Caenorhabditis elegans: one gene and its partner. The protein of the gene in region 1 purifies or fractionates together with the protein of each later gene. This does not show direct contact. Each region holds a gene or a part of one and is shown on either strand. Other genes may lie near its edges.

The links.
Region 2: the proteins of xpb-1 (region 1) and cyh-1 fractionate together in Caenorhabditis elegans (co-fractionation; one large-scale study listed by BioGRID). This does not show direct contact.

The regions. Positions count from the first base shown.
Region 1 is NC_003281.10:11,523,620-11,531,457, forward strand, and holds the start of xpb-1 (General transcription and DNA repair factor IIH helicase/translocase subunit XPB), read left to right. Parts: upstream 1-3,037; 5' UTR 3,038-3,062; coding exon 3,063-3,165; intron 3,166-3,219; coding exon 3,220-3,320; intron 3,321-3,673; coding exon 3,674-3,784; intron 3,785-4,669; coding exon 4,670-5,599; intron 5,600-7,838. Other genes in the region: such-1 (Suppressor of spindle checkpoint defect 1), read right to left, coding at 1-139; Y66D12A.16 (Spen family transcriptional repressor), read left to right, coding at 785-923, 980-1,255, 2,676-2,842.
Region 2 is NC_003280.10:3,502,120-3,512,744, forward strand, and holds cyh-1 (Cyclin-H), read left to right. Parts: upstream 1-2,899; coding exon 2,900-2,971; intron 2,972-3,415; coding exon 3,416-3,534; intron 3,535-3,954; coding exon 3,955-4,063; intron 4,064-4,513; coding exon 4,514-4,596; intron 4,597-4,637; coding exon 4,638-4,745; intron 4,746-5,308; coding exon 5,309-5,490; intron 5,491-6,350; coding exon 6,351-6,477; intron 6,478-7,116; coding exon 7,117-7,330; 3' UTR 7,331-8,426; downstream 8,427-10,625. Other genes in the region: col-71 (Cuticle collagen 71), read right to left, coding at 230-325; Y49F6B.2 (Fcf2 pre-rRNA processing C-terminal domain-containing protein), read left to right, coding at 855-965, 1,054-1,293, 1,362-1,526, 1,573-1,697, 2,590-2,707; Y49F6B.19 (TransThyretin-Related family domain), read right to left, coding at 8,427-8,549, 8,857-8,970, 10,138-10,221; srz-5 (Serpentine Receptor, class T), read right to left, coding at 10,571-10,625.

The DNA of each region.
Region 1 (7,838 bases):
CGTGAAAAAGTGTGCGAATTAGTTGAAAAATGGCGATTTTCGTTGGTGTCACAGGTTCGCCGGTGATATTCAGTAGAGTATGGCCAAAAAGTGAATCCAGACTGACGATTCGTCGAGTTTGCGCTTTTTTCGGAGGCATTCTGGAAGAAATTGAGGTTAAAATGCATTTAAATGAGGGAAAACGGGTTTTGAAAAGCGCGCGCGCGCCAAAAAGTTGTCTGTGGCGCATTTGAACGAATTTTCTGAGAAAAATCATGGAAAATACATTTTATTTAGCAATGTATCTGAATTTTTGCCAAAAAATCGAGAAAATGTGTTTTTTATGCGACAAATGAAAATACACTTTATTCGGCAAATTATTGATTATTTGCGCAAAAAACACTGAAAAATCGAACAAAAATTGAGAAAAAACCAGAAAACAGGGATTCGGGCCTAAATTCATCGGAAAATGTGTTACTGGACGGTTTTTTTCGCGCGAAAATGATGGAAAATGCAATTTATCTGACAAATTATTGATTTTCTCCGAAAAAAATACACTGAACAATAGGGAAAACGGAAATTTTCGACTTCAAAATAAAATAAAAACAAAACAAATTAAATTTTGTTTTCCGAGAGACCGCTCTTCAGCACACACATCGAGAGAGACGCAGAGAATCGGGTACGGTAGCGCGGTGGGTCTCGCCACGACATTTTTTGTCATTCAAATTTTTTTTTGTGTGTTTTAAAATTTTTTCATGCGCAAATCCACGCATTTCTCACTTTAAAACGCGTTTTTCAATAAAAAATGACTTCAATCGCCGTAGAAGAATTATTTGGAAGAAATTTAGAAACGAGCCGTGCACCGAATCCTTGGCCAGCGCCGAGCACACAAGAAACTGAGCCATTTGAAATGTTCGGTAAAGGAGCTGGATCCTTTTTTGACGGTATTTATTTGAAGCTAAAAATTTATTTTTTTAAATCTTTTTATTTCATTTTTCAGACAAGCCGTCCTCCGACTCGGAAGACCAAAAAGATGTGAAAAAAGCTAATCAAGCGGCCCGTGACTCGTATTATGGAGCCTATTCCTACGCAACTCAAGATTTCTCATCGTCACGTGGATTGTCGAGAGATATGGAGCAACTGAAGTCTCCCGCCAAATCTGAAAGTAATGGCACTTTGAGATCGGAGCATCAATGGCGTGATAAGAGACGAGAAAACCACCGACGTCCATTGAAGGAACACCATCGAAGAAACGAAACTCGCAGGGATTACAGATGTATGCGGCACCTCACGAACTCCAAAATTCGCGGGAATTCGTTTCGCGGGGACAGCAGTTTTTGGCTGTTTTTGGCTTCTATAGGAAATTATTTTTGATTTTTTGTTTTATAATATTCTTGAGAAGCATCATCCGAATTTAAAATGTGTGAAATTATGAAATTTGACCGAAAACTGAAGGTTTTACAGGAAGGATTCGCTACGGCTTTCTTTAAAATGTATCAGAATCGTCAGTTTTTCGATTTCAGTCGTAAAATATGCCATTTTGTAGAGAAAAGTCTGTTTCACAAAAATCCATGTTTGACATTTCAAAATTGTTTTTATTTAAAACCTGAAAAATCGAAAAAATAAGCTTTTAAAGGTGGAGTAGCGCCAGTGGGGAAATTGCTTTAAAACACGCATATGGTACCACAATGACCGAATATCATGATAAAAATTTTTTCTAGATTTTATATGATTTTTTGAAAATTGAAAAAATCTCAGTTTTGCCTAATTCCTATTTGAATTACCGCCAATTGGATTTGTTCGATGGAGCGCGCTTGCACGTTTTTATTTTTATTTATTGTTATTTTTTCTTATTTTTCACCGACTTTTCATGTTTTCAGTGTATTTTTGTCTGAAATTTGAAGAAAAAGTCAAAATAAATGCTATTTTTTGAAATTAATTAATTCGGGTTCGAAATCGCTTAAATGCATTTTTTTAATTTAACGCCTGTAAGCGTGCTGTTTAATCGAAAATTAGCATTTATTTTGACTTTTTCTTCAAATTTCAGACAAAAATACACTGAAAACATGAAAAGTCGGTGAAAAATAAGAAAAAATAACAATAAATAAAAATAAAAACGTGCAAGCGCGCTCCATCGAACAAATCCAATTGGCGGTAATTCAAATAGGAATTAGGCAAAACTGAGATTTTTTCAATTTTCAAAAAATCATATAAAATCTAGAAAAAATTTTTATCATGATATTCGGTCATTGTGGTACCATATGCGTGTTTTAAAGCAATTTCCCCACTGGCGCTACTCCACCTTTAAAAGCTTATTTTTTCGATTTTTCAGGTTTTAAATAAAAACAATTTTGAAATGTCAAACATGGATTTTTGTGAAACAGACTTTTCTCTACAAAATGGCATATTTTACGACTGAAATCGAAAAACTGACGATTCTGATACATTTTAAAGAAAGCCGTAGCGAATCCTTCCTGTAAAACCTTCAGTTTTCGGTCAAATTTCATAATTTCACACATTTTAAATTCGGATGATGCTTCTCAAGAATATTATAAAACAAAAAAATAAAAATAATTTCCTATAGAAGCCAAAAACTGCTGTCCCCGCGAAACGAGTTCCCGCGAATTCTGGAGTTCGTGAGGTGCCGCGAGAGATCGCGTTCTAATAATTATGAACAATTTTTTTGTTAATTTCAGCCATTTCAGCCGTCGAAACAGTCCACGAAACTATAAAAATCGAGTCTCGCCGCACCGTGGCCTGCGAAGGAAATGTCTATTTCGAAGAAACGAACGTCATTCAATTTCCCAAAAATCTGCCGCCCAACGTACACGTGATCACCGCCGCCCAATATGGATCGAATTAAATGTTTATTTATAAATATTCGTTTTTTTTTTTGTTTTTTGTTTTATTATGAAAGTCTAGTGAAAAGAACTAGCTGTTTTATAAATTTATATGTCTCCCCTCTGGCTCCTCTCCTGTGTCTGCATATTGTCGTGAATTTCGCTGTATTTGCGTACTTTTTCTCCCCCGGTTTTCTTCCTTTTTTTTCGTATTTTAGACGAATTTTCAATTTTCCAAAAGAAATGGCGACGAAAGAGCGAAAACGACGCGGAAAATGGGATACCTACAAAGCAGAAGAAGCTCCATCATTGTATTCTGGAAATGCTGACAAGGAAACTAGTTCTGGTAACGCGGGGCTCTTTTCCTGGAAATTTTCGAATTAAAAAATTAAATTTTTAGTTCCAAAAGCTGCCTCGCACAATTTGAACGGAGAAAATGCGTCGTCAGTGATGACTGATGAGTTTGGAGCCAAAGATTATCGAAAGGATATGCCATTGAAAGTATGGAGAAGCTCTAAAAATTCGAAAAAATGGTCTGACAAGCTTGAAAAACCCAGAAAAATGGCAATTTTTACAATTTTTTGGCAAAAAAACCCTAATTTTCATGATTTTTTCACCCAATTTTCAGTAAATTAACGATTTTTCCCCCGAAATATCGAAAATTTGGTTAATTTCCAGGGAAAATCGTAAAAATTACTTTATTCTAAAATAATTTCGGTCTGAAAAATGTAAAAAGTTACGAATTTTTGCTATTTTTTTTTGTTTTTTTCGGTCAAAAAATCGTTAAAAAACACTTTTTTTCGAGTTTTTCAACCCAAATTGGCAAATTTTAATTGAAAATTCACAATTTTCAGGGTGATTTCACTGCAAGACCGCTGTGGGTTGCTCCGGATGGTCATATTTTCCTCGAGTCGTTCAGCCCGGTTTACAAGCACGCCAGGGACTTTTTAATTGCAATTTCAGAGGTTATTAACGTCTTTTTTCAGTTAATTCTGAAAAAAATTCATTTAAAAAAATTTGATTCATCTGAAAAGATTTATTTGTAAAAATTATGTTTGGCCAATTTTTTTTTGATTTTTTAATTTTTTTTTCCGTAAAAAATTCCAAATTAGTGCTTTTCAGGTCAATTTTAGAGGTTCAGCACTTTTTTTTCATGGAAAATGACTGAAAATTTGAGCCTAAAATTAACAAATATTAAATTTTTCCAAAAAAAAAAAATCGAAATTCTGATTTTTCAATTTTTCGATTATCTCTTACACATATTGCCAGAATTGAAAATTTCCGACAAATCGTCAAAGTGTCGGGATTTAAATTTTCCGGCAAATCGGCAACTTGCCGGAATTGAAAATTTCCGGCAAATCGGCAAATTGCCGGTATTGAAAGTTTCCGGCAAATCTGCAAATTGCCAGAATTGAAAGTTTCCGGCAAATCGACAAATTGCCGGAGTTTAAAATTCCGGCAAATCGGCAAATTGCCGGATTTGAAATTTTCCGGCAAATCTGCAAATTGCCAGAATTGAAAGTTTCCGGCAAATCGACAAATTGGTGGAATTGAAATTTTCCGGCAAATCTGCAAATTGGTGGAATTGAAATTTTTTGGCAAATCGGCAAATTGCCGGAATTGAAAGTTTCCGGCAAATTGACAAATTGCCGGAGTTTAAAATTCCGGCAAATCGGCAAATTGCCGGAATTGAACGTGTCTTGTAAATAGCTGATTTGCCGAATTTGACATTTCCGGCAAATCGTCAAAGTGCCGGATTTAAAAAGTCCGGCAAATTGCAGAATTTATCGAGAAAAAAATTTGCCGAACTGCAATCGCCACCCATCCCTGCTACATATTCCAATTTTCAGCCCGTCTGCCGTCCACAACACATCCACGAATACCAGCTAACTGCCTATTCTCTCTACGCAGCTGTATCAGTTGGCCTACAAACAAAAGATATCATTGAATACCTGGAACGATTAAGTAAAAGTCAACTGCCAAAAGGAGTCATCACATTCGTTCAAATGTGCACTGTGAGCTACGGAAAGGTTAAGCTTGTGCTCAAGCATAACAGATACTTTGTCGAATCGCGACATTCCGATGTTATGCAGAAGCTTCTCAAGGACTCTGTGATCCAGTCGTGTATTCTAGATGATCGTGTGCAACCTGCTCAGCAAACCGAGCTTCCTGCACAGGAAAAAATCAAATTCTCACATGGAAATGAGAATGAGAAGGGTGTGGAAAAGGATGGAGCAGCAGCAGACGGTACGGCGGCGGCGGCGACAGATGGAAAAGTTCCAGCTGATATTGATGAATTCTACGGGAAAATCGATGGAGATGATGAGGAAGACGCAGAGATTCGAAATTTGCAACTTCTAACGTTTGAGATCAAACAAGAAACGATCGAAACAGTGCAAAAACGATGTATCGAGCTTGAGTATCCACTGCTCGCCGAGTACGACTTCAGAAATGACACTTTGAATCCGAACCTTGGAATTGATCTGAAACCATCGACTACACTTCGTCCGTACCAGGAGAAATCCCTACGGAAAATGTTTGGAAATAGTCGTGCGAGAAGTGGTGTGATTGTTCTGCCGTGTGGAGCCGGAAAGACGCTTGTCGGAGTGACTGCTGTGACGACGGTTAACAAGAGATGTTTAGTGTTGGCGAATTCCAATGTTTCTGTCGAACAGTGGAGGGCTCAGTTTAAGCTTTGGAGCACGATTCAGGATAAACAGCTTGTCAGGTTTACTAGAGAGGCGAAGGATCCAGCACCGTCGGGAGCCGATGCGACCAAGGTTGGAGTGGAAGGAGTGGAAAAATAATGAAGAATTTTAGAGGAAAATCTGAAAAAAATTGAAAAATTTTCGACTTTTAGATTTTCTGAAAAATCGAAAAATTAACCATAAAAAATAATTGATGAGAAAAAAATTAAAATTTTTTCAAAAAATGAAGAAAATTTCGAGCTAATTTTTGAAAAATCGAGAATTTTCGATTTTTCGATTTTTGAATAATCGGGAATTTTCGATTTTCAATTTTTTGAAAAATCGGGAATTTTCGATTTTTCAATTTTTTGAAAAATCGAGAATTTTCTATTTTTCGATTTTTTGAATAATCGGGAATTTTCGATTTTTCAATTTTTTGAAAAATCGAGAATTTTCGATTTTTCGATTTCAATTTTTTGAAAAATCGAAAAACCGACACCCTTGGTCAGAGTGCCTCATTTCGGTTTGGTCTACGTAGATCTACAAAAAATGCGGCAGAGTTCTCAACCGATTTCGCATGGTTAACAACGTGTGCTTACGTCACATTTTTTGGGCAAAAAATTCCCGCATTTTTTGTAGATCAAACCGTAATTGGACAGCCTGCCACCACGTGAAAATCGAAAAATTGGAAATCGAAAAAGGAAAATTTTTAGATTTTTTTTTTCCAAAAATCGAAAATTTTTGTTTTTCGATGTTTTTGAGAAAAATCGAAAAATTTGAAATCGAAAAACGAAAATTTTCGAATTTTTAAAAACCGAAAAACGAAAATTTTCGAATTTTTAAAAACCGAAAAACGAAAATTTTTAGATTTTTTTTTCCAAATATCGAAAATTTTTGTTTTTCGATTTTTTCGATGTTTTTGAGAAAAAATCGAAAAATTTGAAATCGAAAAACGATAAATTTTAGATTTTTTGATTTTCTGAAAAATCGAAAAAAAAAGTTCAGAAACTATAAAATATGATTTTTTTCAAAAATCTAATTTTGTTCTTTGATGAGAAAAATAATAAATATTTATTCTAAAAAATAAGAACAATGCCTAAAATTTCAAGCAATTTTTGAAAAATCAAAAAATTTCCGCTTTTCAACTATTTTGAAAAATCGAAAACCCGACATCTTTGATTCGGAAAATCACTACATCCTGAAAAATGCGTATTGCGCAACATATCCGACGCGCAAAATATCTCGTAGCGAAAAGAAAACTACAGTAATCTATTAAATGACTACTGTAGCCGTTTGTGTCGATTTACGGGCTTTTTGAAATTTAAAAAAAAATTTATTTATCAATAGAATATTTTTTAAAAAAATAAGAGAAAATAGTACAAAAAACTAAAATTATTAATCTCAAAAAAATCAAAGAGATGCCGTAAATCGACACAAACGCTACAGTGTGTCATTTAAAGGGTTACTGTAGTTTTCGCTACGAGATATAGTTATATTTTGCGCGTCAAATATGTTGTGCAATATGGATTTTTTTTGAATTTTGTGTGTTCCTGTAATACTTTAGACTATAAATTCAGCTAAAATCTCAAATTTTACCAATTTTTCAGTGTGAAATTTATTTAAATTCATTATTGTCGTAATTTGGATGTTTTTTTTTGTTGTAAATTTTGATGCCTATGAACGAAAAACCGCGTGATATTCACCAAAATATGCACGAAAATAAAATAATTCAATGAAAAACTAACGAAATTTGAGATTTTAGCTGAAAATTTACTGTTTTATTAGCTTAAAACAGGCATTTTTGAGTCTAAAATAGCAGATTTGCTATCCAGAGAATGCGAATAAGTAAGAAAAACTGCTTTCAGGCCGTTGCCACACTAATAAATTGGCAAAATTCAAAATCTAAGCTTAAAATAGAACGAAATTTAAAGGTGGTGTAGTCGAATTGTTTTTATTGCCTTATTAGACTCAAAATTGCCTGAAAACATCGAATTTTATAATGAAACTTCTTGAAAACTTCTCAAAAAAAAAAAGTTATGACGGCTCAAAAAGTGGCCTAAAATTAGTTAAAATCGGAAATTTTACTTGTCAAGCGGCTGGAAACTATTTTTTTTGAAATCACCGTCAAATCTTAAGTGTATAAGTTGATTACCTTGCGTTTTAAACTTGATTAAGGTATTTAAAAGTCAATGGACGGCGAGTTTTTTAATTTTTTAAAACCAAAACTCGCCGTCCATCGACTTTTAAATACCTTAATCAAGTTTAAAACGCAAGGTAATCAACTTGTATACTCAAAATTTAACGGTGATTTCAAAAAAATTGTTTCCAGCCG
Region 2 (10,625 bases), on another chromosome or scaffold:
AAGGCAGGCACCTAGAAGGCCTACAAGGCCTACAAAACAGGCGCCTAAAAAGCCTACAAGGCAGGCGCCCAGATGGCCTAGAAAGCTTACAAGGTAGGCGCCAAGAAAGCCTACAAGGCAGGCGCCTAGAAGGCCTAGAAGACCCACAAGGCAGGCGCCTAGAGGACCTACAAGGCAAGCCTATACGGCCTAGAAAGCCTATTAGGCCTACTCGAAATAGACCGCTCACCTTAGTCTTCGGATCATCATCAACGTGCGTCTTCAAGCCCATTTCGCGAAGCAAAACGGGTGTGGAGAATGGCTTATCACCGCCTGCGTTGCGCATTTTAAAGCCGCCGAAAATCGCCAACGACCGGTAAATCGGTGAAAAAGTTGGTTCGCATGCGAGAGATAACGTAACGCCGTGGAGACGCAGAGTGTGTGGTCTATCGGATTTTCGGCGGAAAATGCTGGAAAAAAGTGTTCCCTAAAGACGTCAAAGATGATAATGAACGATATAATTAGAAGCTTTTCTATAAAGTTTTTTGTCATTGAAGCTGGAATTTGGCTGAAATTTGCCGATTTTTCGCAATTTCTGAAGCTTGGAGCTTAAAAAGCATCGATTCTGCTCGAAATTCCCTCAAAAAAACCCGAAAACCCATCAATTTCCCGAGAAAATCTTGAAAATTTGGAGTTTTTCCTCTTCGGGGCCGAGTTGGAGTTTTCTAGGCCACGAGTTGCATCCGCGCTCCATTGCGAATATGGTTAATTTAATTTATTTATTTCGAAGGTTTTCACCGGGTTTTCGTCGGTTTTCGCTCTTTTTCGCCAGTTTTTTCGAATAAAAATTGAAATTGAATGATTTTCAGCTCAAAATGTCTGCGCTCTACTTCAAAAAGCTACGAAAACAGCAGAATCCCGACGTTTCAAGCAGCGAAGATTCGGATTCCGACGAGGAAATTCCAAAAAAGAAGCAAAAGCAACAAGTAATCACAAAAAACGGCGATTTTTGCAAATTTTTAGCGAAAAAAACCGAAAATTTCCCAGAAAAGCACCAAAAAAATCGATTTTCAGAAGCCTGTCGCCGAGGAATTCGATGATTTCGTCGTTGACAGAGCCGTACGTGAAGAAGCGCCAAAAGAAGGAGCTTTTGAGGCAGTTGACCTGCTCGGAACATCCTATTTGGAGCCATATGAGATGGATAAGGACTTGCAGGAGCTTCTGGAAAAGTCAGTTGTCGGGCCGAAGTTTGAAGGCGATCATCAGCCTCAAAATAGGCTTTTAGGCCGGAATGCGGCCGCCAGGCTGAAGAAAGTGCGTTGAAATCGATGAAAATTCGATTAAAATCGCTCAAAATCCAATAAAAATCGCTATTTTTCCAGTCAGAACGCGAAAAAACCAAAGGATCCGCTTGGTTCAACCTTCCAGCGACGGAGCTCACCGATGAGCACAAACGAGATTTGGAATTCCTTCAAATGAGATCAACTCTCGATCCATTGGCTCATTATCGTCGAAATGACCGGGCTGTACTGCCGAAATACTTCCAAGTTCGAGAAAATTTAAAAAATTCCCAAAAAATCCGAGATTTTTCAGGTTGGACGAGTCGTTGACGCTCCAGAAGACTTTTATTCGAGTAGAATGGTGCGAAAAGAGCGAAAAAAGACGATGGTCGACGAGATTTTGCATAATGAGGAATCGTTGAGCAAAGCCAAGAAAAAGTACGGGAAAATCAAGAATTTTTGTGAAAAAATTCAAGTTTTTGCGTTTTTAACGTTAAAATCGTGATTTTTAGAGCAAAAATGAGCTAAAAAGGATAAAAATTGGCCGATTTTCACCCAAAACGGCGAAATTTTGCCAAAAATCCTGGAAATTGATATTTTTAATGCAAAAACTCGCTAAAAACGGTAGAAATTGACCGATTTTCACTCAAAACGCCGAATTTTTGCCGAAAATCCTGTAAATCTGCAGTTTTTGCGTTTTTTTAACGTAAAATTATGATTTTGGACTCGAAAACCCCAAAAAAATGCTGAAAATTGATCGATTTTCACTTGAAACGACGAAATTTCGTCGAAAAAACCCGGAAATGGACAGTTTTTTACGTTTTTTAACGTAAAATTATGATTTTGGAGCTCAAAATTGGCTAAAATTGATGGAAAATGGTGAATTTTCGTTACAATATGGTTTTTTTTTAATAAAAAAAACATTTTCCAAGATTTTTACCGAAAAATTTGATTTTAGGAGCAAAAAAAAGCCGAATTTTCAGAAAATTTCGCCGAATTTTGTCCAAAAATGGCGAAAAACCGCAAACTTTTAACTGAAAACACGATTTTTGACCAAAAAAACGATAATTTCAACGTTTTTTTCCGGAAAATAATCGAAAATTTTGAGAATTTCAGTATTTTTTCCTGAAAAATCCGCTAAAATCTCTGAAAAAAGCACAGGTTTTCCCCCCAAAAATCGATTTTTCAATAAAAAAAAACTCAATTTTTTCGGATTTTGAGCAAAACAAACGGTTAAATTGTGTGAAAATAGCTCAAAAATCACATTTTTCCTCCGAAAAAATCGATTTTTATATCAAAAAGCTCCAATTTTTCCATATTTTCCTTCCAGATACGCTGAAATTCGCCAAAAAGAGCAATCTAAACGACGTGGAGCATTCCAAAAATTCGGAAATCGCAAATCTCACAAGCAACAGAGAGAATCAAAAATGAAGAATAAGAAGAAATAATTTTTTTTTGTTAATTTTTTGAATTTTCACATTTTTTTTCTGGTTTTTGTTGGAATTTTCTTGTTATAGACTCGTTTTTTTGTTATTTTGTCGATTTTTTGCCCATTTTTCACTAATTTTCACTGGTTTTCACCCAGAATTACCTTTTTTTTTACCGAAAATTTCAGCCAAAAAAATGGCAAAAATTCAGAAATGTACGCGACGAGCACACAAAAACGGGAATGGACGTATACACCGGAAAAGTTGGCCGCAATGCGTTTGGAGGTAGAAAAATTGGAATTTTTTATGGAAAATAGGCTAAAAACAGCAAAATTTTCACTTAAAACACGGAAAATTAACAATTTCGGCATTTTTTATTTAAAAAATTCGGAAAAAGTTGAAAATTTAGTCATTTTTATTGGAAAAATTAAGAATTTCGGCATTTTTTATTTAAAAATTCGAAAAATTGAGCATTTATTTCATTTTCTCTGAAAAATTCAGGAAAAGTTAGAAATTTCAACGTTTTTTCCGGAAAAATTTATTTTTTTGTTTTTTTTTTCTGAGAAAAATTGAAAAAAAGTAGAAATTCCTGTAATTTTACTGAAAAATCTGAGAATTCCACCGTTTTTTTTCCGGAAAAATGGATTTTTTTTCGCTTTTTCCTAAAAAAAAAACTGAAAAAACCTGAATTTTTCCTCAAAAAATTAAAAATGCCCAATTTTTTTGCAGATAAACATAAAATTCCGTCAAAAATACGAGTCAGTAATGCAGCCGGACGAGTTGGAGCTCTTTGTGACACCTGAAGAGGAGCTCAGAATGCAAAGATCAATTGAGGATGCTGCTTTGAAGTTAGAATTTGCTGGATTTCACCGAAAAATCGGAGAATTCCCGTCAAAATTTCATGAAAAACGCGAAAATTCCGGCTAAAATTGGATTTTTAGCATAAAAAATCCGAAAAAACCATGAAAAAAACAATTTTGTACCGGAAAATGTGGAAAAATGCGATTTTTTCTCAATTTTCTGCATTTTTTGCACCAAAAATTGTGAATTTCGGTTATTTTCTATGAAAAATTGAGAAAATCGGAATTTTTGCCATTTTTCCGATAGAAGTTCAGAAAAAATGCAGAAAATTCACAATTTTGGCTATTTTTTCTGAAAAAAATTTTTTTTTTAGTTTTTTAGTCGAGAAAACCCCAAAAGAAAACGATTTTCACACGAAAAAACCTGAAATTTTCAATTTTCCCACTCAAATACCAAAATTTTTCCAGATTCGCCGACAAATTCCGCCCACACATATGGCCATCAGTGAAATGGACAGCCTTGGCGTTTTTCAAGCGGGCTTTTCTTGTCTGGGTGCCATCAGACACGTCGATTAGGGTAAAAATTGAATTTTTAGCTGAAAATTAGTCAAAATCGCCGAATTTTTGATTTTTAAACGAAAAAACCTATTTTTCGGGCCATTTTTGCCCAAAAATTGTCAAAAATTCAATTTTTTCATACAAACTTCCGAATTTTTTTTAGTTTTAAACGAAAAAATTCTGCGATTTTTGGTGTAAAATTGACTAATTTTCGGCTTTTAAACGCAAAAACCTATTTTTCGACTCAATTTTGTGTAAAAATTGCCAAATATTTTGTTTTAAACGCAAAAATCGGCAAAATTTTGATTTTTTTAACGCAAAAACTTGGATTTCAACTCATTTTCACTCAAAAATCGCTAAAATTTTGATTTTTAAACTGAGAAAACTCAATTTTCTGCCGATTTTTGCCCAAAATTCCCCGAATTTCCAACATTTTCCATCAATTTTCCATTAAAAATCTTAATTTCAGATGGTAATGATGGCTTGCTTCTACTTGGCAATGAAAATCGACGAATTCTACATTACAATCGAAGATTTCGTGAAGAATATGAAGTAAGTCCTGATAATCGCCGCTGGCAGCTACTCATTATCAGAAGTTACAGCGTTGGAGAACCTCGACAAAATGCCGAACGGATTTTGAAGCTGGAGCCGGAGCTTATGAAGATTCTCGACTATAATTTGACTGTACATTGCCCGTATAGGTACGGAAAATCGGGATTTTCCAGCAATTTCCGCTGAAAATACTGGAAAAATTCGAAAATTTCACGAAAAACGGAGAAAATTGGCATTTTTCCGGCTCCGAGACCTCAAAATTGCTTAAAAATCCAATTTTTGTCCGAAAAAATTCAATTTCATAAAAATAAGAATTTAGAGCTGAAAATGCGCTATAAAATCCTTTTTTTTCTTACAAAATACCCCAGAAAACCTCGATCTTGGTTCAATTTTTGAGAAAAATCTGAAAATTTCGTAGATTTCCACTAGAAAATGTGAAAAATCTCAATTTGCATACGAAAAAGCCAAAAAAATCACATTTTCCAGCTTAAAACAACCCTAAAAATGACAATTTTCAGACTAGAAAAGCCTATAAATCTCATTTTTCAGGCAAAAAACCTAAAAAAAAATTTCCATTTTTCAGCTGAAAAAAGCCCGAAAAAATTTCATTTTTAAGCCGAAAACCCGGAAAAAATCCAAATTTTCAGCCGATCAAAAACCAAAAAAATCTTATTTTTCAGACTAGAAAAGCCTAAAAATCGCCATTTTTCAGGCCATACGAAGGCCATCTAATGGATATGAAGACCCGAATGCTTCTTCTAAATTTCGATCTCGAATCAATCCGCCGCGATTCTATGAGATTCTTCCAGAATGCACTACAAACCGACGTGCTTCTCCTCTATCCACCGTCACAGATTGCACTGGCCGCCATTAATTTCGGGCTCCATGCTCAGGGTACGGCGAAGATCTCGAGAAATCGAAAATTTTGGGAGTTTTTGTGTAAAAATTCGAATTCCCCGTCATCGTATTAGTCTACCCTATAAGTTTCTGCTAAAAATCTCAAAATCCCGTCAAATTCGGTGTTTTGGGTTACTGTAGCCCGTGTTTGCGTACTCTCGGGGCTACAGTAACCCTGGAAATTTCAAAATTGCGCTAGAAACTCCAAATGTTCTTCTTTTAGAGCGGAATTTGACAGGAAATCCGAATTTCGCTGTAAAATTCCTAAAATTCGTTGCGTAAAGTGATTTTCTAGTTTTCAAAATTTTTGCCAAAATTTTTGTGTAAAAATTCGAGCTCCCCGTCATCGAATTAGTCTAACACAAAAATTTCAGCTCAAAATCTCAAAATTCCGTTAAATCTGGTGTTTTGGGGTACTGTAGCCCGTGTTTGCGTACTCTTGGGGCTACAGTAACCCTGGAAATTTCAAAATTGCGCTAGAAACTCCAAATGTTCTTCTTTTAGAGCGGAATTTGACAGGAAATCCGAATTTCGCTGTAAAATTCCTAAAATTCGTTGCGTAAAGTGATTTTCTAGTTTTCAAAATTTTTGCCAAAATTTTTGTGTAAAAATTCGAGCTCCCCGTCATCGAATTAGTCTAACACAAAAATTTCAGCTCAAAATCTCAAAATTCCGTTAAATCTGGTGTTCCGTGTTTGCGTACTCTTGGGGCTACAGTAACCCTGGAAATTTCAAAATTGCGCTAGAAACTCCAACTTTTCGTGTGCTATAGCAGAATTTCACGGAGAACTCGAATTTCAGATTTAAGATCCGAAAATCTCAATTTCCGATAGAAAAATTCAGCAATTTTGCACTAGTTTCAGGCAAATCCGACGAGATTCTACGCGAGTTTCTTCGGAAACTTATCGGAATCGAAGAGGACTCGTGGGCTCATCGTGATGCTCGTCCAGAGGATTTGGAAAAGCTCGAAAAGACGGTTACGAGGTAGTGAAGAGCACCGGAAAATTGCACATTTTCAATGAAAATCGCTGGAAATTGTCGAAAAATGGCAAAAATTTGACTCAAAACACAAAAAAAAACAGGAAAAATACAATTTTTGAGCCAAATTTTGGATTTTTTCAGAGAAAAACTAACGAAAATGACATAAAAATCGTTTTTAAGTGGAAAAAAAATACCGTTTTTAGTGGTAAAAATTGACAACAAAAACAATTTTTCACTAAAAATAGTAAAAAATCGCCATTTTTTGACAGCAAAATTGGGTTTTTAGCCTTAAAATGTGTATTTTTTCCCCAAAAATTTGCATTTTTATTTGCTAGAAACCTGAAAAATGAAGCTTAAGCTCAAAAATTCGGGCAATTTTAATGAAAATTTTTGAAAAAAATCTATTGAAAACCCGATTTTTCGCGTAAAAATATGTAAAATTGCGAGAAAAATCCGAAAAAAAACCATTTTTCGCATAAAAACCGCTCGAAAAAAGTGAAAAATCGGTTAATTTTTGGCTAAAAGGTTTTTTTTTCAAAGCTCCGGCGATTTTTGAAAAAAAAAATTAATTTTTAGTTTAAAAAACCGCTGAAATTTGGATATTAATCAATTTTTCTCCTAAAAAATCCAAAAATTTTCCAGAGTCAATCAAATAATGCGAGAAGTCGATCGAAATTTCGTAGCAGTGACAGAGCAAGAACGGGAGAATCACAAAAGCCAGCTGGCACGGATTCAAGCATTGATTCCAGCACTTGATGAACGACGAAAAGAGCAATGGTTGGCTGGTGGAGGTGTTGGATTGATGCCTGGAGAGCTCGCCGAGCAGCCAGTTGATTCTGATGACGAAATTAATTGATTTTTGCTTTTTTTTTTCGCCTTGCTCCAGAAATTCTGCTACAAAATGAGCAATTTTTAACATTTTTTGGTCTAAAATAATCTAAAAAATTGGATTTTAATCTCTAAAAATTTAAAAATTCGAAATTTCCGTATTTCGACTTTAAAAAATTTCAAAAAAAATCGTTTTTAATTTCTGAAAATTAAAAAAAAAAAAGTCTGTTGGCCTGAACATTTTGAAAAATTCGAAATTTTTTGTTTTTCATTTCAAAAAATTCGTTTTTAATTTGCAAAAATTAGAAACATCGTAAAAATTTCGTTTCTAGTCTCTAAAAATTTTAAAAATCGAAATTTTTATTTTTCGAATTTTAAAAATTCCAAAAAAGTTTGTTTTTTATTTATTTTTTCCCTAAAAATTCGAAAAATCTAAAAAATGTGTATTTTGAATTAAAAATTAAAAATTTTCGTTTTTGAGCTTTAAAAATGTTTAAAAATCCCAAAAAAAGTGTTTTTTGTCTTAAAAATAAGCCTAAAAATTGCCTGAAAGCTGAAAATCACCGAAAAAATTTTTCGGAATTTTTCCACTTTTATCTGCTATTTTTCAACAGTTGTTCAGTAGTTTTTATTTAAAAAATGGGCAAATTTTCTGATTTTTTACTGAAAAATATGAAAAATTTGACGAGTTCCAGAAGAAAATTAACGAAAAGCCACAAAAATTTGCATAAAACTATCGATTTTTTTCTTACAAAAATTCAGTATTTTTTTCATATGAAAAATGAAATTGTTTTAAAAAAATTTAAAAAAATCCGAAAAATTATCGATTTTTTAAAAACCAAAAAAAATATTTGAAAAAAGTTGAAATTTCTAAAAAAAAAACTACATTTTGTTCAATAAATTCGATTTTTAAAAAAATCGAATTTTTTAAACAAAAAATTATATTTAAAAATCGGTATTTTTCGAAAAAAAAATTCCAATTTCTTATAGCTCATTTTATCGAAATTTCTGGAGCATTTCCCCCTATTTTGTTCAAAAAAATCCCTCAATTCTCTTATATTATCGGGTATAATTTTATCATTTTTATCATTTTTACTGTGTAACTAATTTCCCTATGAAAATGCTCAATTATTTATTAATTTATTGTTTTTTCCCTCAAAAAATCGATAATTATCATTAATTTTGCACTTGAATGATGAGAATTGGCGGCGCGTATCCCATTTCTCCATTATTATTATGATCATTGGCTGAAAATTGTAATTTTTATTGTATTTTTAAAAAAATAATTATGCCCCTCTCCTCCAAAAAAGTAGGAAATTTTGCTAAAAAATTTGCGATTTTTCTGAAAATCGTGTCAAAATTCCCAAAATTTTGAGCAATTTTCCAGTAAAATCGATTTTTTTTTCTTTAAAAAAATCGAAACTTTTTTACAAAAATTCCCCACATTAGGATCCTTCTGATAAGTTCCAGAATCGGCAATCTTGGCATGCCGAATCAATACGGATCCATTTGGGAAAAGCTTGAAATTCGATGAATCCACCACTCGACCCTCACCCATTTTCCACGATTTCTCCCTCTTCCGAACGACATTATCTGATTGCCAGCGGCGACGGTTCGTTTGAGAGCCGAGGAGCCTACGGCGTCTTCGATCAGAAATGAGTCGCCAACCTGGAAAAAGAAGCCGAAATTCGAATTCTCCGTGAAATTCTGGTCTAGAAAACGAAAAGTTGAAGTTTCTAGCGCAATTTTGAAATTTTCGGGTTACGGTAGCGCCGAGAGTACGCAAACACCGACTACAGTACCCCAAAACACCAGATTTGACGGAATTTGGAGATTTTGAGCTGAAAATTATGGGGTAGACTAATTAGATGACGGGGAGCTCGAATTTCTACATAAAAAATTTTGAAAACTAGAAAAAATAGGTTTTCAGTTAGAAAATCATTTTACGCAACGAATTATAGGAATTTCATGACAATATTCGGATTTCTTGTCAAATTCTGGGTCGGAACGCAAAAAGTTGGAGATTCTAGAGTAATTTTGAAATTTTCAGAGTTACGGTAGCTCCAAGAGTACGCAAACACCGACGACAGTACCCCAGAAACACCGGATTTGACGGAATTTTGAGATTTTGAGCTGAAAATTATGGGGTAGACTAATTAGATGATGGGGAGCTCGAATTTCTACACAAAAAATTTTGAAAACTAGAAAAAATAGGTTTTCAGTTAGAAAATCATTTTACGCAACGAATTATAGGAATTTCATGACAATATTCGGATTTCTTGTCAAATTCTGGGTCGGAACGCAAAAAGTTGGAGATTCTAGAGTAATTTTGAAATTTTCAGAGTTACGGTAGCTCCAAGAGTACGCAAACACCGACGACAGTACCCCAGAAACACCGGATTTGACGGAATTTTGAGATTTTGAGCTGAAAATTTTGTGGTAGACTAAATTCATAGCGGGGAATCCGATTTTCACTATTAAAATTTCATAAGTATATTTTGAACTATAGAAAATTGAGTTTTCAGCCAGAAAATCACCTTATGCTACGAATTTTTAAATTTTCACTACAAAATTCGGATTCCTCGTAAAATTCTGGGTAGAAACACAAAAAGTTGGAGTTTCTAGCTCAATTTTGAAATTTTCGGGTTACGGTAGCTCCTAGAGTACGCAAACACGGGCTACAGTACCCCAAAACACCGGATTTGACGGAATTTTGAGATTTTGAGCCGAAAACTTAGGGATAGACTAAATTGATAGCGGGGAATTCGAATTTCGTAACCAAATTTTGATTAAAACTTGCGAAACTACAAAAATCTTAAAAATTCGGTTTTTTACCTTCAGTAGAGCTGTCGCAATTGAAGCATTTGATAGAACCACTATCAGTGCCAAGATGGCAAGAATTACAGTAGTTTGGGACATTTTTCAGGGCTGGAAATCCTGAAAACTGACTGAAAATTCAAAAATTGGATATTTCTTTTATAGTGTGAGGAATTTTCATAAAAAGTGGTCATAAATTTTGGTATTCCCACATTTTTGCATATATTTTGAACCATGATTCATGTGGACAAATTGTGATTTTTGAGCACTTGGTTTAGGAATGTAGGCACGTAGGCACGTAGGTACGTAGGCACGTAGGCACGTAGGCACGTAGGCACGTAGGCACGTAGGCTCGTAGGCACGTAGGCACGTAGGCACGTAGGCACGTAGGCACGTAGGCACGTAGGCACGTAGGCACGTAAGCACGTAGGCACGTAGGCACGTAGGCACTTCATAATGGTGCAACAACATTATTATAGTCCCTCTCAATCCGCAATTTTCGCTTC